3 linked regions of the Anolis sagrei genome follow. The protein of the gene in region 2 purifies or fractionates together with the protein of the main gene of each other region. This does not show direct contact. Links are inferred from orthologs where the notes say so. Each region holds a gene or a part of one and is shown on either strand. Other genes may lie near its edges.

Evidence for each region.
Region 1: the proteins of MEX3C (region 2) and MYCBP2 purify together in Homo sapiens (affinity purification with mass spectrometry; 3 studies listed by BioGRID and IntAct, with this or other methods). This does not show direct contact. The link is inferred for Anolis sagrei from reciprocal best matches to the Homo sapiens genes MEX3C and MYCBP2.
Region 3: the proteins of MEX3C (region 2) and AP2B1 purify together in Homo sapiens (affinity purification with mass spectrometry; 4 studies listed by BioGRID and IntAct, with this or other methods). This does not show direct contact. The link is inferred for Anolis sagrei from reciprocal best matches to the Homo sapiens genes MEX3C and AP2B1.

Annotation. Positions count from the first base shown.
Region 1 is NC_090023.1:127,768,128-127,775,413, reverse strand, and holds the start of MYCBP2 (E3 ubiquitin-protein ligase MYCBP2), read right to left. Parts: upstream 3,078-7,286; 5' UTR 2,886-3,077; coding exon 2,554-2,885; intron 1-2,553. UniProt on the Homo sapiens protein: Atypical E3 ubiquitin-protein ligase which specifically mediates ubiquitination of threonine and serine residues on target proteins, instead of ubiquitinating lysine residues.
Region 2 is NC_090022.1:286,899,495-286,907,363, forward strand, and holds the start of MEX3C (RNA-binding E3 ubiquitin-protein ligase MEX3C), read left to right. Parts: upstream 1-4,787; 5' UTR 4,788-4,802; coding exon 4,803-5,964; intron 5,965-7,869. UniProt on the Homo sapiens protein: E3 ubiquitin ligase responsible for the post-transcriptional regulation of common HLA-A allotypes. Binds to the 3' UTR of HLA-A2 mRNA, and regulates its levels by promoting mRNA decay.
Region 3 is NC_090031.1:28,420,298-28,428,164, reverse strand, and holds the start of AP2B1 (AP-2 complex subunit beta), read right to left. Parts: upstream 3,007-7,867; 5' UTR 2,891-3,006; intron 2,830-2,890; exon of another isoform or gene 2,779-2,829; intron 1,059-2,778; 5' UTR 1,041-1,058; coding exon 1,004-1,040; intron 817-1,003; coding exon 711-816; intron 1-710. UniProt on the Homo sapiens protein: Component of the adaptor protein complex 2 (AP-2). Adaptor protein complexes function in protein transport via transport vesicles in different membrane traffic pathways.

The sequences.
Region 1 (7,286 bases), on a different chromosome or scaffold from region 2:
GCCTCGCGCCACAAAGAGAAGGTAAGAAATATAATTATTATTATTATTATTATTATTATTGTTATGCTAACTCTAATGTGCCTTGTTGTCTTTTGAAATGTTTACAAAGAAGTATAATGACCCATAGTTAAACTACCTTCAGGTAAAGAGAAAGAAACAACTTCCTATTTTAGACAACTAAGAAAGTAATAAGCAATCCAGGAGTACCTGGCTGTGAGATATCCAAGGGCCCTTCCACACAGCCATAAAACCCAGAATATCAAGGCAGAACAACCCAGCACAAAACACTCTGTAAGAATGACCCAAAATTATATCTGATGAAAAATACTTGATGAAAAATGCTTGTTAGACGAATACGATGCAAAATGTGCAGACTCTACAGTAGTCCACTGCAATGTACCATTTGTCATTTAAAAAAAAGTTGACATGATGGGAAAAAAGACGTATTTAAAATCAACATAAAGATTGATTCAAACTGTGCTACTCTCATTTCTGATGATTACAAAAAGTTTGATTTTGTTGGCTTGCGTTATCAAAGCAGATAATCCAGGTTCTCTGCTTTGAACGGGATTATATGAGTTTACACTGCCATATTAGCCCTGTGGCGCAGCAGGTTAAACCGCTGAGCTGCTGAACTTGCTGACTGAAAGGTTGGCAATTCAAATCCTGGGAGCAGGGTGAGCTCCCACTGTTAGTCCCAGCTTCTGCCTTTCCCTAATTCGATGCATTCACAATTGAGCTGGATTCTCAGAGACAGTAAAATCTCATAGTACAATAAACTCCCTATCCTTATTCTTAAGCCCCCTTCTACATTCAAATCAAAGCAGATAATCCAGATTATCTACTTTGAACTGGATTATATGAATCTACACTGCCATAAAATCCAGTTCAAAGCAGATGATGTGGATTTTATATGACATTGTAGATGAGGCCTCACTTACATACGACTGAATACATTGGGGTTTACTTCTGAGGAGGCGTGCACTCATCAGAGGCAAAGTTCATCCCAACAGCACAGCAACAAGGGAGCATGATTTCACTGTCCCTGCGAATTCTCATTGGGAACCAGTGGATTCAAAGAGCTGGGTTTTATTTCAATGGACAATTAAAGTAAATGCAGAAGAGATGAGGGGGTGTGAAGTAGGTAGGCGTTCTTTTCTGGATCCTGAGGAGGTGGTGATGAGGGGGTCTATAGGCCGAGGGCGGTGCTTCTGTGAAGGATGCAGCCCAGCCTCCCCCTCTTTATTTATTTATTTATTGTGAGACGTATATGCCTCCCTTCTCAATCCGAAGGGGACTCAGAGTGGCTTACAAGCTATATGTACATATTATGTTATTAGTATAGTACAATATTAGTATTATATATTACTATATTATACTATACCACTGTACTGTATTAATAACATTACATGTAATATGAAAGATAAAATTATATTTTATTATTAGTATTATACTGCATTACATTATATTATCAATATTACATGCGTATACAACATATATTTAGCACAGCGCAATATTACTACTATATATGACTATCTTGTACTGTAGCACTATACTTTATTATTATTAGTAATATTACATGTAATATGAAATACATAATTATCACATTGTATTATTAGTATTATATTGTATTACTTTATAATATCATCAATAATATGTGTACACAATATATTATTAGCACAGCACAATATCAGCATTATATATTACTATATTGTACTATACCGTAATACTATTAGTAATATTATTAGTAATATTACATATAAAATTATTATATTGCATTATCATTAGTATTATATTGTATTACATTATAATATTATCAATATTATATGTGTATACAATATATCCTATTAGCACAGCACAATATTGATATTATATATTACTATATTATACTATACCAGTGTACTGTAATATTATTAGTAATATTAGAATCATAGAATCAAAGAATTGGAAGAGACCTCATGGGCCATCCAGTCCAACCCCCTGCCAAGAAGCAGGAATATTGTATTCAAATCACCCCCAACAGATGGCCATCCAGCCTCTGTTTAAAATAAAAATAAAATATTTTATATTACATGCAATATAAAATATATAATCATTACATTTTATTATTATTAGTATTGAATTATAATATTATCAATATTATATGTGTATACAATATATCCTATTATTAGCACAGGACAATATTAGTATTATATCTTACTATATTGTACTATATAATATTATTAGTAATATTACATGCAATATAAAATATATAATCATTGCATTGTATTATTATTAGTATTATATTGTATTGCATTATAATATTATCCATATTATATGTGTATACAATATATTACAACATCAGCACAGCACAATATTAGTATTATATATTGCTGTATTGTTGCTGGGGGGAGGGGCTCCCAAGTGATGAGCCAATCTATCCCCCTCCCAGGTGAGTCAGGGCAGGAAGCGCCACCTGCAACCGCCCGGATGTCCCTGGCGGGGCGTGTGCGCAGCAGCAGCAGAAGCATCCTCCTCCTCCTGCTGCTGCTGGGCTGTTATTGTTCTCCCTACCTGCCCGGGTGCCCGGCCTGGTCCCGCTCGCTCAGCGCCGCCGCGGTGTAAATCCTCCGGTAGCGCTCGGCCAGGGCCCGGCCCGAGAGCAGCAGCTGGTAGCGCGCCCGGCAGGCGCCCCCGCCGACGCTGCCACTGGCGCCCCCGGCCGGGGAGCCCAGCCCCGAAGAGCCCGGCGGCGCCTGCGGGAGGAGCGCCGACAAGGCGGCCACGGAGGCCGCGCTCTCCCCGGGCCCCATGGCCACGCTGGGCGGGTGCTGCGGGTGCTGCTGCCCGGTGCCGCTCGGGAAGAGGAAGAAGCCGCCGGGCTCGTCGGAGGCGGCCGCGCTCATGGCCTCCGCCTCCTCCTCTTCCTCCTCACGCTCCTCCCCTCAGCGCCTCTGCGGCCCTGCCTCTATTTCTGCCTCAGCCCCCGCCGCCGTCGCCGCCATTGGGGCCCCCGCGGGCAACAGACACAGGCAGCCCACCCGCCCGGCAGCGCCACACTGACTGACTGACTGACTGACTGGCAGGGATGACTGGCAGGCGCCCGGCCCCGCCCCCTCGGCCTTGTGCGCGCGCGCGAAGGAGGGGGTGGCCGGAGAGCGGGGATTGGTCGGCAGCACAGAGAGTTCGCTCGGCCCAAGCCAGGGCGCGGCGAAGGAAAGCGGATAGGCTAGGCCGGCTCGGCGCGCGCTCTCTCTCTCTCCAACGCGCACGCGCGCTCTCTTTCTTGGCCCCGCCTCTTCCCCTTTCAGCCACCCCTTTACCACCTCCTCTTCCGTGTGTCAAAACGCTGACACTTAGTCGGGACTGCGCCTGCGCGAAGTCTCCCTTTTGTTTCGCCCCACCCTCTTACTCCCCCCCGCCCGCCCACCTCCTGTCAGAGACGAAGCGCATGCGTAGAAGTGCGCCTGGCTGGGTTGGAAGAGCGCCTTTCCTTCTCCCGCAGCCTCCCATTCATTCTCTCTCTGCTTGTTTGTTTGTTTGTGTGTGTGTGTGTGTTTGTTTGTTTGCAGGGGAATGGGCTGCAGCACCTGCTTCTGAAAGCCTATGATCTCAGAGCAGCACGTGAATAATGACTGCATGAGAAGGAGCCAGCAAATGCCAGTGTGCCTCCCTCAGAAACTCATTCTCAGAAACACATTCTCCCTCAGAAACCCATTCTACATTCCTCATCCAGGGTTTTATCAATTTTATTCCTAGTACATTTGGCCCGCCCACTGTGTTCTATTTCTCTATCATGTTATTTTGAAACTGGTTATTTTATTTTGTTATTTCATGTATTTATTTTGATGTTATTTTTGCTTCTTGTATTTTATTTTGCTGTACTATAATTTTGGGCTTGGCCTCATGTTAGCCACCCAGAGTCTCCTTTGGGGAGATGGTGGCAGGGTATAAATAAAGATTATTATTATTATTATTATTTGTAATTATCGTGGTTGCTGTTTGCTTGCAGCAGATAATAATTGGTGATCCTCAATCAAAGCGAGGAAGGCAAGCGGTGCGTGGCTGAAACTTGGAAAGGATTCCTGCTGGAGAAGGAGATGGAAGAAGACTGCAAAGGATTGCACATTTGGCTATACTTGAACACGACTGGGAAGAATGGTCACTCTTGTACAAATTAGACATCTTGAATAGGTTTCCTGTTAAAGCCCTACTTTGTGGTCAGTCTAATAAGGGCACTGGAGCACAGGAAGGCGAAGGAGTTTGTAGTGACCCCCCCCCCCCAGCTTGGTCATTTCTCTGCAGTATCATTCTGTGTGTGTCCATATGCCCCCCTTATGCATTCAGGCATTCAGTTATCCACAGCTTGAAAATATTGCACACACAACTTAAAAAGCTTGATTTTGCCATGCTTATATATTCCATTCTATACTTCACAATTATATGTATGGGTGGATTTTGATATCCACACGGACACTGGAACCAAACCACAGAAAATACCAAGAGCCCAATGTAGGCATTTGCAATTTCCCTGTCTAACTACTTCATCACACTAGAGGAAAAAATCCACTTTAAATCTGGTTTCTGCCTCCTGCAGAATTATGGAGTTTGTAGTTTAGTGAGGCTGTTAAAGGTTCCTCCCTAAACTACAAGCCCCAGAATTCTGCAGGAGGCAGAAACTGGATTTTAAGTGGGGGGAGGGGGGTTTCTCTAGTGTGATGGGTAACTTATGATGGCCCGATGTATTTCATACGGTGCCTGGTCTTATATTGTGACTTAATGCAGATACCCATTTGTATCCACTGGGACTTTTTTTCTGTGAAAGTTTACATACGAGGTTATTAATTTGTTTTCCCTAGATTAGTTTGATGTTCCTCGCAATCGATAGTGACTTGAACTTTGCTTGATGAGGATTCCTCTTATTTATTATGCATGGCCATCTTTCAGTTAAAAAAAGACTTACTTGACTTGCCAGGTTATAGTTACAGCTTGACCCTTCATTAATGTCTTTTCTCCTCTTCCCCCAACTTTCTGCTAGTACTATAATAAGAATTACCCTGCCTGCTTAGAAAGTGACATATTAATGATGGCATAATTGTTACTCTGATTCCCCAGACATACACATATATTTCTATGTAACCTCCCTAGCAATAATGTGTTATTTTTCACAACTAAGACATTTATCATCCAAATTATGAGTATTTGTTCTATAAATACCATGGAGCTATGTCCACCTCAATAGTTGTTTTTGATGAATTGGAATATTGTACAAACTGAATAATTAAAATAAATCAGAAATTGATTTAATGAGGCTCCATGTTGTCTGGGTGATGTGTCCCCACCATAACTGCTATCCTGCTCTTAGACAACTCAAACACTCAGTATTATTGAACTTTCTCCAGTTCTGAGCAGAATCTGTGCCACAATGCCAGCCATTTGCCTGCTGTGTTGATGACTAAGACATTGCTCAGCAGTGAATCTAGATGTGTAGGCCAAGTTAAAATGTGGGTTTGGAAGAGCTTTGTTCAGTAATAAGTTTGGTTGCTCTTTGTGTGTGTGTGTGTGTATTAAATTAGCTTTCCCTATTTTTATCATCAGTTCTCAATGTTCTTTTTCTGTTGTCTACTGAGATGTCAAACACACAGCTTGTCAAAGAAACTGAAGGCAGGCAACCAGACTGGAGAAACGAAAACATAAATTCTAGTGTTACAGCATTATATGGTCTAGTAGTGTGAAGATTCTGGGGAATTGAAAGTTAAGGGTTTCAGAGGACCAGAATAACCTGATAAAGTTCTTAATAGTTACTCAGTGGCATGGCCAATGTATCAATTACATCTTTTGTTAGAGAAATTACAGGTAGATCTCAACATGACTGGGAAACAGGTTGTGTCTCAAAGATAGAAGTCATTTTCAGCAAAGACACCTTAATCACCATTGTATATAGTTATAAGAGACCCTAAAGATGGCTCTTATGTATGGAAGTAAGCTAGTAATAATTATTGAACATGGAGTCCCTCATGACTATCTAGGTTCTTTGGTTGTCCCTATTACAAGGGATGTTTCTTATTTGCGGACCAGAAAACCTGTCTCTTAATACATTGGGAGATGTCCTTTTTTATAAGTAATGTCTCTTATTTGAGGGTTGGGGTGCATTTCCATTTTTGTGGGCTAAATGAATGCCAAAAATTTGTGCATTTTTGTATATGAGCTTTTCATAAAGATGGCAATATATGCATTGTGTCATTTTTAATATGGACAATGTGTTGATTTTGCAGAGAAATAGATGACTAGGTTAACTGAAATCAATGCCTTCATTTGATATTTAAGTAGAACACAAACATGTTCTTAGCTATTTCCCAAATGTCAAACCTGAACATCATGAATTTTGGAAGTTCCTTTAAAATTTGACACACTGTGAGTGCCCCTTCTCAGACAAAGGGAACAAAGAGAAGTGGCCATTTTTTGTGTGGATGGGTGAAGTGACATCATCAGGTCGGATGAAATCAAACTGTCTAGGTACATAAAATTAGGGGAAAGACAGAGGGGGAAGTCCAGGAACTATCTAGCTTCCTGATGCTGCCTCTCACTTCCAATAATACTGAAATGTATGTTCTTTGTGGTTTCAGTGACTTATATCTGTGTTTATTTTGTGCCTGCAGAGCAAGCACAAAAGGAAAAGCTAAGGAAAATATTTTGGCAATCGTCCCGTCCCTTCTGCCAGTCACATCAGTTTCCTTTTCTTTGCCTCACTTGTTTGGACTGCTTCATGAGTTAGTTTTTTCCCCTTTCCCTTTTATTTCCTTTCTTGCTTGCTGTTAGCCACAGTTTTCTTTATTCCTTGCATTCTATGGGCCATTAAGTACATTACACCACACCATTATTATGGCATTTTTCTTCCACAGGGGACAGCGAAGAAACCAAAGGGCAGAATTCTGGTAAAAGGGAAGAATCTAGAACAGGGGTCCTCAAACTAAGGCCCAGGGGCCGGATGCGGCCCTCCAAGGTCATTCGCTCAGGGTCAACCTAAGTCTGAAACAACTTGAAAGTACATAACAACAACTATCCTATCTCATCAGCCAAAACCAGGCCCACATTTCCCATTTAAATACTAATAAGTTTATATTTGTTAACATTGTTCCTCTTTTTAATTATTGTATTATTTTAAAGTGTTTTTTACACTACAAATAAGATATGTGCAGCGTGCATAGGAATGCATTTTTTTTTCAAATTATAATCCGGCCCTCCAACAGTTTGAGGGACTGTGACCTGGCCCTCTGTTCAAAAAGTTTGTGGACCCCTGATCTAGA
Region 2 (7,869 bases):
CAGTCCACTGAACTTGGAGGACAATCTTATTCAGACAATGAGGGATCGCCTAAGTAGTAAGTAAATGAGGGACAGTGAACTGGCCCCCTATTTTAAAAATTTGAGGACCCCTGGTGTATGCACTTTCAAGTTGCCTGCTAACTTATAGGAACAACACAAATTTCATAGGAATTTCTCAGGAAAGGAATATACTCAGAGGCACCTCTGCCAGTTCCTTCCCTTGAAATATAACCTACAGTACCTTGTATCCAGTCCAAGTACTAACCAGGGCTGAGCATTTAGCTTCCAAGATCAAGTGGATACTTAGACAAACAATATTACAACATAGGTAACATTAAAACATTGCCTTGTCACATTACGTTAAAGTTACATTACACCAAAATGAAAATACGCCACCCAGTAAACAACACATTATTCCTTCTTTCCACCACTTTATTCCTTAAATTAGCAGCCTTGGAATGCAAAGAGAGCAACCCATGGGACACAGAAGGGTTTAAACTACTCCATAACAATGTGAGTTTGTTTTTCACAGACCAATTTCTCCTGCAAGTCAGAAAGGGGCACAGATAATGGTCTGTAGAGCTTGAACATAAATGGTACTCAAGTAGATTATATGCCAGACAAGGTTAATAAAAAATTAATGTGGGCCAGTAACTTTTGGGGATTCAACTTGCTAATTTGCACCAAGTGACATACATACATACACCGTGCTCTTATTCCAAACCAGGAATATTCTTGACCAGGAGAATAGGTTCCTCTGCCTGTCAGAGGCAAAAAAAATCATTTATTTAAATAATCATTGGAGATCAAGGCTTTCTGAATAATAGCAGGTTGTATGAACTACTCTTTGGGACACCATCAGGGATCGTGACACCAATTTTTGTGAAGTTTCAGTAGAAAATTATTATCTATATAAATAAAAATGTAATGTTCGTTTGTGGGATTAACCAAACTCAAAAACCACTGGATGAATTGACACCAAATTTGGACACAAGACACCTAACAACCCAATGTATGTCCTTCACTCAAAAGAAAAATTATTTTGTCATTTGGGAGTTGTAGTTGCTGGGATTTATAGTTCACCTATAATCAAAGAGCATTCTGAACCCCACCAATGAGGGAATTGAACCAAACTTGACACACAGTTCTCCCATGACCAACAGAAAATACTGGAAGGGTTTGGTGGGCAGTGTCCTTTGGTTTTGGAGTTGTAGTTCACCTATATCCAGAGATCACTGTGGACTCAAACAATGATGGGTCTAGAACAAACTCTACACAAAGACTCAATATGCCCAAATGTGAATACTGGTGGAGTTTGGAGGAAATAAAATCTTGACATTGGGAGTTGTAGTTGCTGGGATTTATAGTTCACCTACAATCACACAGCATTCTGAACCCCACCAACGATAGAATTAGGCCAAACCTCCCACACAGAACCCCCATGTGGGCCACAGCAATGCGTGGCAGGGGACAGCTAGTTTCATATAAATATTCCTGGTTTGGAATAAGAACATTGTGTATGTATGTATGTCACTTGGTGCAAATTAGCAAATTGAATCCACAAAAGTTAGATATAACCTCATCCTTACCTGTACTGTGTCGATATACCTGCAAGGTTAAAACTCTATACTGATTGACTTTTTGAGTCTTCAGGTGTGCCTGCACTCCAGTCAGAGATGTCATTATTACTCAAGCACAATGACACTGTCAATCACATTGTTTCATCGGCACATCCTACAAGCACACACCATTGTTTTCATTGCTGCTGTTAATTTTATAGTCATCGAATTTGTCAAATTTTCTGGTAGTTTAGCAACAATATTGTGACGCAGAAGGAAGTCCATCGGGGTCACATGCCTTAGTCACATCCCACCTGGACTACTGCAGCGCTGTCTGTGTGGGGCTGCCTTTGAAGACTGTTTGGAAGCTTCAACTGGTTCAGGGATCGGCAGCCATATTACTAACTGTAGTACCGTACAGGTAGTGGACAACTCCACTGGCTGCCAGTCTGCTGACAGGCTAAATACAAAGTGCTGGTCATTACCTATAAAGCCCTAAACTGTTTGGGCCCAGATTACCTGAAAAACCACATCTCCGTGTACAAACCAGCACAAGCACTACGGTCTGCAGAGGAGGCCCTCCTCTTGGTCCCATTAAAAATTGCCCCCTCTCTGCTCTCCTTTTAAAAGCTTTTTATAACACATCTATGCACTTTAGCCTATGGAGAGGACTAATTACACCTTATATACACCTCCACCTTGTTTTGAACATCTACCTTATTAATCTGCTGTATACCATCTTAACTACAATATTTTTTGTTGAATTTTAGGAGTTTTTTCAAAGTGACCATCACTCAGAAAAGCACTAGAAAACACAGTGGAAGGGACTTAAAAACCCAAAAAACAAAAAATACATTACAACGCATGCACAAAAACCACATATATAAACAAACACACATTTATACACACACATATATGCATATATACATACACAAAACACAGACGGGGCCACAGCAATGTGTGGCAGGGGGTGGCTAGTATATATATATATATATATATGTATGCAATGTTTGTTTGTGGGGTTAACATAACTCAAAAACCACTGGATGAATTGGCACCAAATTTGGACACAATTACACCTCTCAGGCCAACGAGTGACCACTCATCAAAACACTGAAAAACACAATGGAAGGGACTTAAAAGGCAAAAACAAAAATTACATTACACCGCATGTGCAAAACCACACATATATGCATATATATACACATACACACATATATACAGACACATATATATGCATATATACACACAGAAAATACATATACATAGACTGGATCACAGCAATGCATGGCAGGGGACGGCTAGTGTGTGTGTGTGTGTATATCTTTCCCTTCCTTCCTTCTCACCCTTTCCCTTGCCTTCTGTTGTGTGTGTGTGTGTATGTATACCTTCCCCTTCTTTCCTTCCTTCCTTCCTTCCTTCTTCCTCACCCTTTCCCTCTTCCTATCCTTTGTGTGAGTGTCTCTCTCTCTCTCTCTCTCTCTCTCTCTATATATATATATATACATCTTTCCCTTCTTTCCTTCCTTCCTCCTCACCTTTACCCTCTTCCTATCCTTTGTGTGTATGTGTGTATATATCTCTCTTCCCCTTCTTTCCTTCCTTCCTTCTTACTCTTTCCCTCTTCCTATTCTCTTTGTGTGTGTGTGTGTATCTTCCTCTTCTTTCTTTCCTTCCTCCTCACCCTTTCCCTTTCCCTCTTCCTATCCTTTGTGTATGTGTGTATATGTATGTATATATATATGTGTATGCATGTATGTATGTGTATATATGTGTGTATGTATGTATGTGTGTGTATATATATATATATATATATATATATATTCCCCTTCTTTCCTTCCTTCCTTCCTCTTTCCCTCTTCCTATTCTTTGTGTGTGTATGTATATATATATATTTCTTTCCTTTCTTCCCACCCTTTCTCTCTTCCTATTCTCTTTGTGTGTATATATGTTCCCCTTCTCTCCTTCCTTCCTTCCTCACTCTTTCCCTTGCCACCTTCCTATTCTCTTTGTGTGTGTATATCTTCCCCTTCTTTCCTTCCTTCCTCTTCACTCTTTTCCTTGCCACCTTCCTATTCTCTTTGTGTGTATATATGTTCCCCTTCTTTCCTTCCTTCCTTCCTTCCTCTTCACTCTTTTCCTTGCCACCTTCCTATTCTCTTTGTGTGTATATATGTTCCCCTTCTTTCCTTCCTTCCTTCCTTCCTCTTCACCCTTTCCCTTGCCACCTTCCTATTCTCTTTGTGTGTGTATATCTTCCCCTTCTTTCTTTCCTTCCTCTTCACTCTTTTCCTTGCCACCTTCCTATTCTCTTTGTGTGTATATATGTTCCCCTTCTTTTCTTCCTTCCTCTTCACTCTTTTCCTTGCCACCTTCCTATTCTCTTTGTGTGTATATATGTTCCCCTTCTCTCCTTCCTTCCTTCCTCACTCTTTCCCTTGCCACCTTCCTATTCTCTTTGTGTGTGTATATCTTCCCCTTCTTTCCTTCCTTCCTTCTCAACCTTTCCCTTGCCACCTTCCTATTTTCTTTGTGTGTGTATCTTCCCCTTCTTTCCTTTCTTCCCACCCTTTCTCTCTTCCTATTCTCTTTGTGTGTATATATGTTCCCCTTCTCTCCTTCCTTCCTTCCTTCCTCACTCTTTCCCTTGCCACCTTCCTATTCTCTTTGTGTGTGTGTGTGTATATATATATATATGTATATATATATCTTCCCCTTCTTTCCTTCCTTCCTCCTCACCCTTTCCCTTGCCACTTTCCTATTCTCTTCTTTCCTTCCTTCCTCCTTACTCTTTCCCTCTTCCTATTCTCTTTGTGTGTGTGTGTGTGTATCTTCGTCTTCTTTTCTCCCTTCCTCATGTGTATATATATGTATATGTATATATATATATAATCTTCACCTCCCCTTCCTTCCTTCCTTCCTTCTTTCCTTCCTTCTCACTCTTTCCCTTGCCACCTTCCTATTCTCTTTGTGTGTGTGTGTATATCTTCCCCTTCTTTCTTTCTTTCTTTCTTTCCTCCCTCCTCTCTTTGGCCCTCATCCCGCCCTCTCCTCTCCTCCGGGGCAGGCCTGGGTGCCCTTTCCCCCTTTCCCGGCGGTGGCCTGTCTCCACCCCGTCACAATCCCCGCCGGGCCAACCCAACAATCCTGCCCCGGCCGGGGTCTCGGGAGTGGGTTTTGGCCGCGGCGAGAGGGCGGGCAGAGGCAGGGAAGCAACGAGGCGGCGGCGGGCGTGGCGCGTGGATGCGGTCGGCCGAGGAGGAGGAGGCGGAGGAAGAGGCGGAGGAGGAGGCGGGGCTGGATCCGCCATCGCCACCGCCGCCTTCTTCCCCTTCTTCTTCTTCCCGAGGAGCCGGAGAGGGAGAGAAAGAGCCGGAGCAGGAGGAGGAGGGACAGGAGGAGCAGGAGGAGGGCGAGGGGGAGCGGGCGGCGCTGCTGCCATGGAACAAAGGGAGGCGCGCTGAGGGCGGCGAGGAAGGCCCTGGCGGCAGCAGCGACGGCGACGAGGAGGAGGCGGAGGAGGAGGAAGAAGAAGGAGCAGGAGCAGCACCGAGAGGGGAGCCGCCGTCGCCATGTCGTCGCCGCCGCCGCCTCCTCCGAGGGCCTGACCGGCCTCCGCCTTCCTCGCCGCCACCTCCTCCTCCTCCGCCGCCTCCGTGGGGCCTAGCCGAGCTGCCCTGGGCGGCCATGCCGAGCGGCAGCGCCTCGCCTTCGCCTCAGGAGGAGGAAGCGCCGCCGCCGCCCTCAGGAGACATGGTCCTCCTCCTGCCCTCCTCGTCCTCCTCCACGACTAGGCCGCAGAGCCTGTACTCCCAGGAGGCGCTCTTCCTGAGGGAGCGCCTGGCCTGCTTGGGCCTGAGGGAGGCCTCCGCGCCACCGCTCTTTCCTGAGGAAGAAGACGGCGACGAGGAGGAGGACGAAGACGAAGAAGACGGCGAGGAGGAGGAGGAAGAGGAGGCCGCGCCCCCGCCTGAAGGCCTGGACCTCGATTTGGAAGAGAACGCCGAGGAGGAGGGAGAGGGAGGGCAGGCGTCGCTGCTGCTCCTGCCCCGCGCCGTGCTCCTCCCGCCGCCCTTCGAGGCGGCCCCCGCGGCCTCCACAAGCGGAGGAGGAGGGGGAATAGGAGGAGGCCTGCTCTACGCGCCCGGCGAGGACGGGGTGCCCCCCGCTGTGGTGGCCGCCATGCTCTCCCAGGCTTACGGGCCTCCGCCGCCACAGCCAGGAGTGGGAGCAGCAGGAGTAGGGGGAGTGGCGGCTCCCGGAGGAGGCGGCGGCGGAGGCGGGCCGGCCCTCAACGGCGGAGAGGCGGCGGCGGCGGCGCTGCTGCGGAGGAAGAGCGTCAACACCACCGAGTGCGTCCCCGTGCCCAGCTCCGAGCATGTGGCCGAGATCGTGGGGCGGCAGGGTGAGTCGCCAGCCAGGCAGCTGGAAGGCCTTTCCTTCCAGACACCTCCTCCTCCAACGTTCATGGAAACTAGGCCCAGTCAGTGTCTTTCCCCTTCCCATGGATAACAAGGCCCAATCAGCCCAACCCACAACCTCCCTTTCCCTCACTCCCACTCTTCTGCTTCCTCCTCCATTCAAAACACAACTGTCTGTTTCCCTACTCCTTTGGACCCATCTACCCTTTCAAAACAAGGCCACAACTGTCCGTTTCCTCCCTTCCATTTCTCTTCTTCCTCCTCCATTCATGGAAGCAAGGCCCAGCCAGCTCAAGACACAACTGTCCGTTTCCTCCCTCTCACTCCCCTTCCTCCCACATTCATGGAAACTAGGCCCAGCCAGCCCAACATACAACTGTCCATTTCCCTTGGACCCATCTATGAAAACAAGGACCCAACTGTCTTATTTCCTCCCTTCCACTCCTCTTCTTCCTTCTCTATCATGGAAACAAGGTCCAGCCAGCTCAAGACACAACTGTCCATTTCCTCCTTTCCACTCCTCTTCCATCATGAAAACAAGGCCCAGCCAGCTCAAGACACAACTGTCAGTTTCCCTCGTCTCTTGGACCCATCTTCCCCTTGAAAACAAGGCCACAACTGTCAATTTCCTCCTTTCCACTCCACTTCTTCCTCCTCCATGGAAGCAAGGCCCAGCCAGCTCAAGACTGGCTGGATCCACCGTCCCTTTGAGAACAAGGCCCCAACTGTCCATTTCCACTCTTCCACTTCTCTTCTTCCTCCTCCATTCATGGAAACAAGGCCCAGCCAGTTCAAAACACAACTGTCCATTTCCTCCTTTCCACTCCTCTTCTTCCTCTTCCATCATGGAAACAAGGCCCAGCCAGTTCAAAACACAACTGTCCATTTCCGCCCTTCCATTTCTCTTCTTCCTCCTCCATTCATGGAAACAAGGCCCAGCCAGTTCAAGACACAACTGTCCATTTCCGCCCTTCCATTTCTCTTCTTCCTCCTCCATTCATGGAAACAAGGCCCAGCCAGTTCAAAACACAACTGTCCATTTCCGCCCTTCCACTCCTCTTCTCCCTCCTCCATTCATGGAAACAAGGCCCAGCCAGTTCAAAACACCTGTCCATTTCCTCCTTTCCACTCGCCTTCCATCATGGAAACAAGTCCCAGCCAGCTCAAGACACAACTGTCCATTTCCCTACTCCCTTGGACCCACCTCTCCTTTGAGAACAAGGCCACAACTGTCCCATTTCCTCCCTTCCATTTCTCTTCCTCCTCCTCCATTCATGGAAGCAAGGCCCAGCCAGCTCAAGACACAACTGTCCATTTCCCTGTCCCTTGGACCCATATTCCCTTTCAAAACAAGGCCACAACTGTCCATTTCCTACCTCCCACTTCTCTTCTTCCTTCTCCATTCATGGAAGCAAGGCCCAGCCAGCTCAACACACAACTGTACATTTCGTCGTTTCCACCCCTCTTCTTCCTCTTCCATCATGGAAACAAGGCCCAGCCAGCTGAACATACAACTGTCCATTTCCCTCATCCCTTGGACCCATCTTCCCTTTCAAATCAAGGCACTGTCCATTTCCTACCTCCCACTTCTCTTCTTCCTTCTCCATTCATGGAAGCAAGGCCCAGCCACTCAAGACACAACTGTCCATTTCCTCCTTTATACTCCGCTTCTTCCTCCTCCATTCATGGAAACAAGGCCCAGCCAGCTCAACATACAACTATCCATTTCCTCCTTTCCTCTCCACCTTTTCCTCCTCCATTCATGGAAGCAAGGCTCAGCCAGCTCAACACACAACTGTCCATTTCCTTCTTTCCACTCACCTTCCATCATGGAAACTAGTCCCAGCCAGCTCAACATACAACTGTCCATTTCCCTCCTCCCTTGGACC
Region 3 (7,867 bases), on a different chromosome or scaffold from region 2:
AGATAGAGAGATGCAGGGAAGGAAGAAAAGCGCCTGCCTCCACAAACAGCTATATCTCCCACCACTCAGGTGACACCAAAGGCCCTCCCTCCCTCCAATGACATTGCAGGTTATAGTGAGTGCTGTAAACATGTCCAGGAGCCCTGCCAATGTCTCCCACCAACACCATCTTGCCCACCACCCAAGGGAAGGTTTTCATTCGGGGACAATTCCATCCTAGATTTGATTTATTTCCTCCACCACAGACATCGCAGTGTTTCTTACTCTCTCCGTTGGTGTGGAATTTGCATGACCCCGCCCACTGCCTCTCCCTTAACCCTTCCCTATTCTTTTCTATGGCACACAGCAAACACAGGAATTGATCATAATAATGAACATACAAGAGATGTTTGGGGAGAATTCAACATGATTTATAGGAGTCAGAGAGCACACTGAACCACAGTGATGATGTAGCCAGAGCAAATTTGCCCAACATAACAAACTTGAAGCACTGATGGGAGTTTCTCAGGTTTAAATTGGCATGATGGGAGTTGTAGTTCACCCACAACCACATGCATTTCGTACCATTAAAAAAATTGACTTGTTCAAATAACCTGGGCAACACCAGGCACCCAAGCTAGTAATGTAATAATAATTTTTATTCAGATAAGGTTTGATGATGGTATTATTATTATTATTATTATTATTATTATGTTACAATAATTCCGTACCTGACGTCCTTGCCCACGGTCATGGCCGCAATGACCTTCTTGACAGCTTCCTTCCGCTTCTCCTTCTTTTCATTGTTGAGTTCTGCTTTCAGCTCAAAGATCTCCCCTTGGAAGGAGGGAAAGGAAATACAGTCCAGTCAGAAATGCCATTATACTATTATTATATGAAATAATAGCATCATAATATTATAGTAATATTATATTACATTATAATATATTATATTACATTATAATATATTATATAATTACATTAAATAATGGTATAATATTATATTCCTCTATACCCATCTCACCTTTTTTATTGGTGGTGAAGTACTTGGAATCCGTCATGGCTTCGGCTTCCTAAGACTATCATGAAGGAAAGGAAAAGATGATATCAGGTCAATTCACCTGTCAATTCACCTGGGTTTTTCTTAGGCTTAATTGACACAGCCATATAATCCAAGTGATCCACTTTGGATAATACAGCAGTGTAGACTCCAAATATATAATCCAATTCAAGGGTTAGCATCCAAGATCTGATGGAGACTTAGGCCTTTAGCAAAGTGACAGCTGCTTTTGCTTTCCTGGGTTAAGAGTTTAAGTTCATCTCATTCATTCCCCATCTTGTGAGCTTCAAATTGCTTAGGGATTTAGGGAATATAATGGGGTTTTCTTGGGCCAGGAATGTTTTTGCCAGCTCCTTCCTCTGAAATACAGGACACTCTTCTCCAAATATTGTAATAATAATAACAACAACAATAATATAAAGATTAATAATAATAATTAAATTTTCACCCACACCCCGTATTCGAACTGCCAAACTTTCAGTCAGCAAGTTCGGCAGCTCAGTATTAATAAATAATAATAATAATAAAAATATAATCATAAATATTATTAAATTATAATAATAAAAAGTATATAATAATAAATATTAATACTTCCTTTCCCTTCTTTTTTTTTCTTTGTGGCTCGTTCTTTCTTTCTTTTCTTCCATTTCCTGCCTATTAATTAAAAGCCCTATTCTTCCCCTCATTCCTTTTCTCTTTCCTTCCTTCCCTCCTCTCCTTCTTTTTTCTCTTCTTTTCTTACTTCCTATTACTATTATAATGGATGTTATCAATGACATAATTTTATTATAATTTATTATAATAATAATGAAAGCAAGGGAGAGAAGGGGGGGAGTTTTCCCCTTTCCTTCCTTCCACCCTCTCCTTTTTTCTCTTCCTTCCTTTTCTTACTTCCTATGACTATTATATTATAATGGATGCTATCAATGATATAATTTTATTATAATTTATGATTTATTTGTTGTGTCAGAGCAGCCAGTCCATTATATTACATTTCTAACAGGACAAAGCAAACAAACAGAAAAATGCACAACTTGTGAGTTTGGTAGTTGATTAAATGTCCTTTGACCAGTATCTGGCCCCTTGGAGTGCCTCTGGTGTTGCTGCAAGAAGGTCCTCCATTGTGCATGTAGCAGGGCTCAGGTTGCATTGCAGCAGGTGGTCTGTGGTTTGCTCCTCTCCACACTCGCATGTCAAGGATTCCACTTTGTAGCCCCATTTCTTGAGGTTGGCTCTGCATCTCGTGGTGCCAGAGCGCAGTCTGTTCAGCGCCTTCCAAGTCGCCCAGTCCTCTGTGTGCCCAGGAGGGAGTCTCTCATTTGGTATCAGCCATTGGTTGAGGTGCTGGATTTGAGCCTGCCACTTTTGGACTCTTGCTTGCTGAGGTGTTCCAGCGAGTTTCAGGACCAACCATGACAATAATTTATGATAATTAATATAATGAAAGCAAAGGAGAGAAGGGGGGGGAGTTTTCCCCTTTCCTTCCTTCCCTCCTCTCCTTTTTTCTCTTCATTCCTTTTCTTACTTCCTATTACTATTATATTATAATGGATGTTATCAATGATATAATTTTATTATAATTTATGATAATTAATTATAATAATAATGAAAGCAAGGGAGAGAAGGGGGGGGGCTCAGTCTTCCTTCCTTCCCAATTGGCCCCAACTCATTAACCTCACTAATTAGGGGACTAATCAATAGGGGTAGAAAGGGAGGCCTTGTCATCAGAGTAGTCCTACCTTGCAGGGAGGGAAGGAGGCAAGATCAATGGCTCCCTTCCCTCTTCCCCCTCCCTCCCTCCCACAGTGGGCGTGGCCTGGAAGCCCAGAGGCCACGCCCCTTTAATCTCACCTAAAGAGGAAGAAGGAGAAGGAAGAGAAGCAGCAGAAGCCTTCTTTAATGAAGAGAAGAAGAAGCCAGGGTGGGGTCAAGGATTGGGAGGACCGGAAGCCGGGCCCATAGAGCCGCCCCCGCCTAGAAGCGCCCAAGAAGGCCCACTTCCGGTGGGGAGGCCATACCCACCAGAAGTGAGGAAGGAAACTCACTTCCCTTTCTTTCCACTCTTCTTCTGTATCCCTCCCTTTCCTTTGGAGTCCTAGAGCGGCTTAGGTGTGGGACATGAGGCGTGTGGAGTCCTAGATCGGCCACTTCCGGTGAGGCCTAGCCGAGGCTTTGAGGCGGGAGCCACTTCCGGTGAGGCCTAGCAATGGTCCTGCAAGAGGGAAAACAAAGGTGAGGAAGTGGATATGGAAATATGCAAGTAGGGGAAAGTTACTTTTTTCTCTCATGCAACAAAAAGGAACTTCTTCTCCCTCCCTTCTTCTTCTTCCTCCTTCTTCTCTATGGCTGCGGAAGGGAGGAAGGGGATTGGCTGTTGCTAGGCGACCATTGCAAGAGAGAGGAAGAAAGGAAGGTATGTGGAAAAAAGGAAGGAAAAGGAAGGGGAAAAGGGAAAGGTCTATGAAGGAAAGGGAAGGAGGAAAGAAAGGAAAAAGGAGGGAAGGAAGAGAGTGGAAGAAAGAGAAAGGAAAGAAATAAGAGAGGGAGAAAGGTTTATGAAGGAAAGAAAGAGCCACAAAGAAAAAGAAGTAGGAAGGAAAGAAAGAAAGAGGAAGGAGTGTGAAGGGGAGGAAGGGGAGAAGGAAGGAAGAGGGGGAAAGGAAGAGAAAGAAGAAGGAGAAAGAAAAGAAGGAAAAAAGAGAAGGAAAAGGATTAGGAGGGAAATGAAAGAAGGAAAGAAAGAGCCACAATGAAAAAGAAGAAGGCAGGAAAGAAAGAGATGGAAAAGGAGGTCAGGAAAGGAGGGAACACGCTAAAGAAAGGGAAAGGGGTATGAAAGAAGGGAAGAAAGGAAGATGTAAGAAGGGAACGAAGGAAGAGAGGGGAAGAGAAAGGAAAGAAAGAAGGAAAGGTTTATGAATAAAAGGGGAAAAGGAAAAAGACACAAAGAATAAAGAAGAGAAAGGGAGGAAGGAAAACATAGGGATGGAAAGAAAGAATGAAAGAAAAAGATGGGGAAAGGGGAAAGGGAAGAGAAAAGAAAAGAAAGAAAGAAGAGAGGGAAAAGGTTTATGGAAGAAATGGACAGAGAGAAAGGAAAGAAGGAGCCACAAAGAAATAGAAGGAGAAAGGAAAGAAAGCGTGAATGAATGAAAGAAAAAGGAAATGAAAGAAGGGATAAAGGAATGAAATAAAAAGCTGGGAAAGGAGGGAAGGAAAGAAAGAAAAAGATGGAGAAGGAATGAACGATCAAGGAAAGAAAGAGAAAGAGAAGGAAAAGAGAGAAGGCAGGAAGGAAGAGAAAGAAAAAAGAGAGGGAAAGGCTTATGAGGAAAATGGAAGAAAGAAAGAGCCACAAAGAAAAAAAGAAAAGGAAGGAAGGAAGAGAAAAAGGAGAGGGGGAAGGAAGGAAAGGGGAAAAGATATGAGGGAAAGAAGGGAAGAAAAAGGGGAAGGGAGGGAAGAGAAAAGAAAGAAGAGAGGGAAAATGAGGGAAATGAAAGAAGAAAAGAAAGAGCTACAAAGAAAAAGAAGAAGGCAGGAAAGAAAGAATGAAAGAAAAAGAGAAGGAATGAAAGAAGGAAAGAAAGAGCCACAAAGAAAAAAAGGAAGGAAGGAAGGAAGGAAAGAAAAAGATAGAAAAGCAAAAGAAGAGAAAAAGAAGGAAGGAAAAGGAGGGAGGGAAAGAAAAGGATGGACAGATAGATAGGAAGAAGGACCAACCCCCTTCTACCATAAGGAAGGATAGAATTATTATTGTATTATGGTCTATTGTTGTTGTTGTGTCTCTTTTTCAGAGTATTTTAGTCACTCTGCTCCGGGCGCTGCATGCCGTTCCTCCTCTCGGCGCTCCTTCTACGGACAACCAGGGCCTTCAACCAGAGCCAGAGGCTGATCTTTCTCCCGAGGCGGCCGCCTCAACCTGGGATCGCTTTCCCCCCATTGCTATTTACACAGCCTTTGCGGAGATTGGCTCTCCTTCCTTCCCAGATGGCGGAGCAGCGCTACTGCGTGGACTACGCCAAGCGGGGCACGGCCGGCTGCAAGAAGTGCAAGGAGAAGCTGCTGAAGGGCACGGTGCGCATCGGGAAGGTGGTGCCCAACCCCTTCTCCGAGTCCGGCGGGGACATGAAGGAGTGGTACCACGTCAAGTGCGCCTTCGAGAAGCTGGAGCGCGCCCGAGCCACCACCAAGCGGATTGAGGACCTCACCGACCTGGAGGGATGGGAGGAGCTGCAGGAGCCCGAGAAGGAGATGATCAACCAACACATCGCGGGTGAGGGATCTCAGCACATCGAGGGAGGGAGGGACAGAAAAGGAACAGAGGGCCACAGGGATGGAAAGGAGGACCCACAGGGACAGTCAGCTGGACTCATAAGACAGAGAGAGGGAATGGTATGTACTTAGGTAGAATTGTGGATGGATGGATGGAATGCTAGACTTGGAAGGGACTCCAAGGGTCATCCAGTCTCATCCCTAAGAGAGAGAGAGATACATGGATGGATACATACATACATATCTCCAAGGGTCATCCAGTCCAACACCTAAGAGAGAGAGAGAGAGAGAAGGAGAATCCTAGTCCTGAAAGGCACTCCAAAGGTCATCCAGTCCAACCCCTAAGAGATAAATAGATACATGGATAGATGCATAGATGGAATGCTAGACTTGGAAGGGACTCCAAGGGTCATCCAGTCTCATCCCTAAGAGAGAGAGATACATGGATGGATACATACATACATACATACATACATACATACATATCTCCAAGGGTCATCCAGTCCAACCTCTAAGAGAGAGAGGGAGAGAGGAGAATCCTAGACCTGGAAGGCACTCCAAAGGTCATCCAGTCCAACCCCTAAGAGATAAATAAATACATGGATAGATATATAGATGGAATGCTAGACTTGGAAGGGATTCCAAGGGTCATCCAGTCTACCCAAGAGATAGATAGATAGATACATAGATAGATAGGTAGCTGGACTTGGAAGGGACTCTCTCCAAGAGAGAGTGATACATAGATAGATACATAGTCCAACCCCTAAGAGAGAGATACATACATATATACATACATAGGCAGGGAATGGCTTGTATTGGACTGCCATTGAGGGTTTGGGGGGAACGAGATTGATGCGACACCGGTCTCTTTTGCAGAGCTGAGCTCAAAAGCCTCCAACACCCCCAAGAAGAAGGCAGTCGTGCAGGCCAAGATCTCTCCCGGCGGACAAATCACCTCCCCAAAGAAGGCGCCGGCCGCTTCTTCCGACCCGCCCAAGAAGTTCTCCGGCTTTACAGGTGCATCATCTCCATTCAAAATCTGGTATTGCATCCCATCCATTTGGTCAGCTTGCCATCAGTTGGGAAGAAGGCCTTTGAAGGGCCCACAAGGACAACTGTTTTGATCTTAAATCTACAATTAACGTTTGTGCGGATGGGCCATCAAGTTGGTGGTTGATGTACGGCAAACCCAATAGTTTCCTTTGGAAATGGTTTTGATGGGTCTTTACTCTGAAATATTGCCTATGGGTTGGATTATATGAATAATAATAACATCATCTCCCATGGAAGTCCTAACCAGGGTTGACACATTTTAGCTTCCAAGGTCAGTAGGATCTGGTGCCATAATAATAATAATAAGTATAATAATAATCATCTACATATAATCTATATAAATAAAATTATAATGTTCGTTTGTGGAATTAACATAACTCAAAAACCACTGGACGAATTGACACCAAATTTGGACACAAGACACCTAACAACCCAATGTATGTCCTTCACTCAAAAAATTGATTTTGTCCTTTGGGAGTTGTAGTTGCTGGGATTTATAGCTCACCTACAATCAAAGAGCATTCTGAACCCCACCAACAATGGAATTGGACCAAACTTGGCACACAGTTCTCCCATGACCAACAGAAAATACTGGAAAGGTTTGGTGGGCAGTGTCCTTTGGTTTTGGAGTTGTGGTTCACCTACATCCAGAGAGCACTATGAAGTCAAACAATGATGGATCTGGACCAAACTCTACAAGAATACTCAATATGCCCAAATGTGACATTCGGGAGTTGTAGTTGCTGGGATTTATAGTTCACCTACAATCACAGAGCATTCTGAACCCCACCAATAATAGAATTGGGCCAAACCTCCCACACAGAACCCCCATGTGGGCCACAGCAACGCGTGGCAGGGGACGGCTAGTACATCCATATAAATAAAAATGTAATGTTCGTTTGTGGGATTAACATAACTCAAAAACCACTGGATGAATTGACACCAAATTTGGACACAATACAAGTCTCAGGCCAAGGAGTGACCATCACTCATAAAAACACTGGAAAACACGGAGAAAGAGACTTAAAAAGCCAAAAAACAAAAATTACATTACAAGACTTGTGCAAAACCACATATATATACACAAACATACATATACACATATACAGAAATATATACACACACAAAACACATATACACAGACTGGGCCACAGCAACGCTTGGCAGGGGAACAGCTAGTAATAAGTATAATAATATTAAGTATAATAGTAATAATGTAAGTATAATAATAATCTCCCATTCACACCCTAACCAGGGCTGACCCAATAATAATAATAATAATAATAATAAGTAAAAAGGTAAAGGTAGTCCCCTGACATTAAGTCCAGTCATGTCTGACTCTGGGGTGTGGTGCTCATCTCCATTTCTAAGCCGAAGAGCCAGCGTTGTCCGTAGACACCTCCAAGGTCATGTAGCCGGCATGACTGCATGGAGCGCCGTTACCTTCCCGCCAGAGCGGTACCTATTGATATACTCACATTTGCATGTTTTCGAACTGCT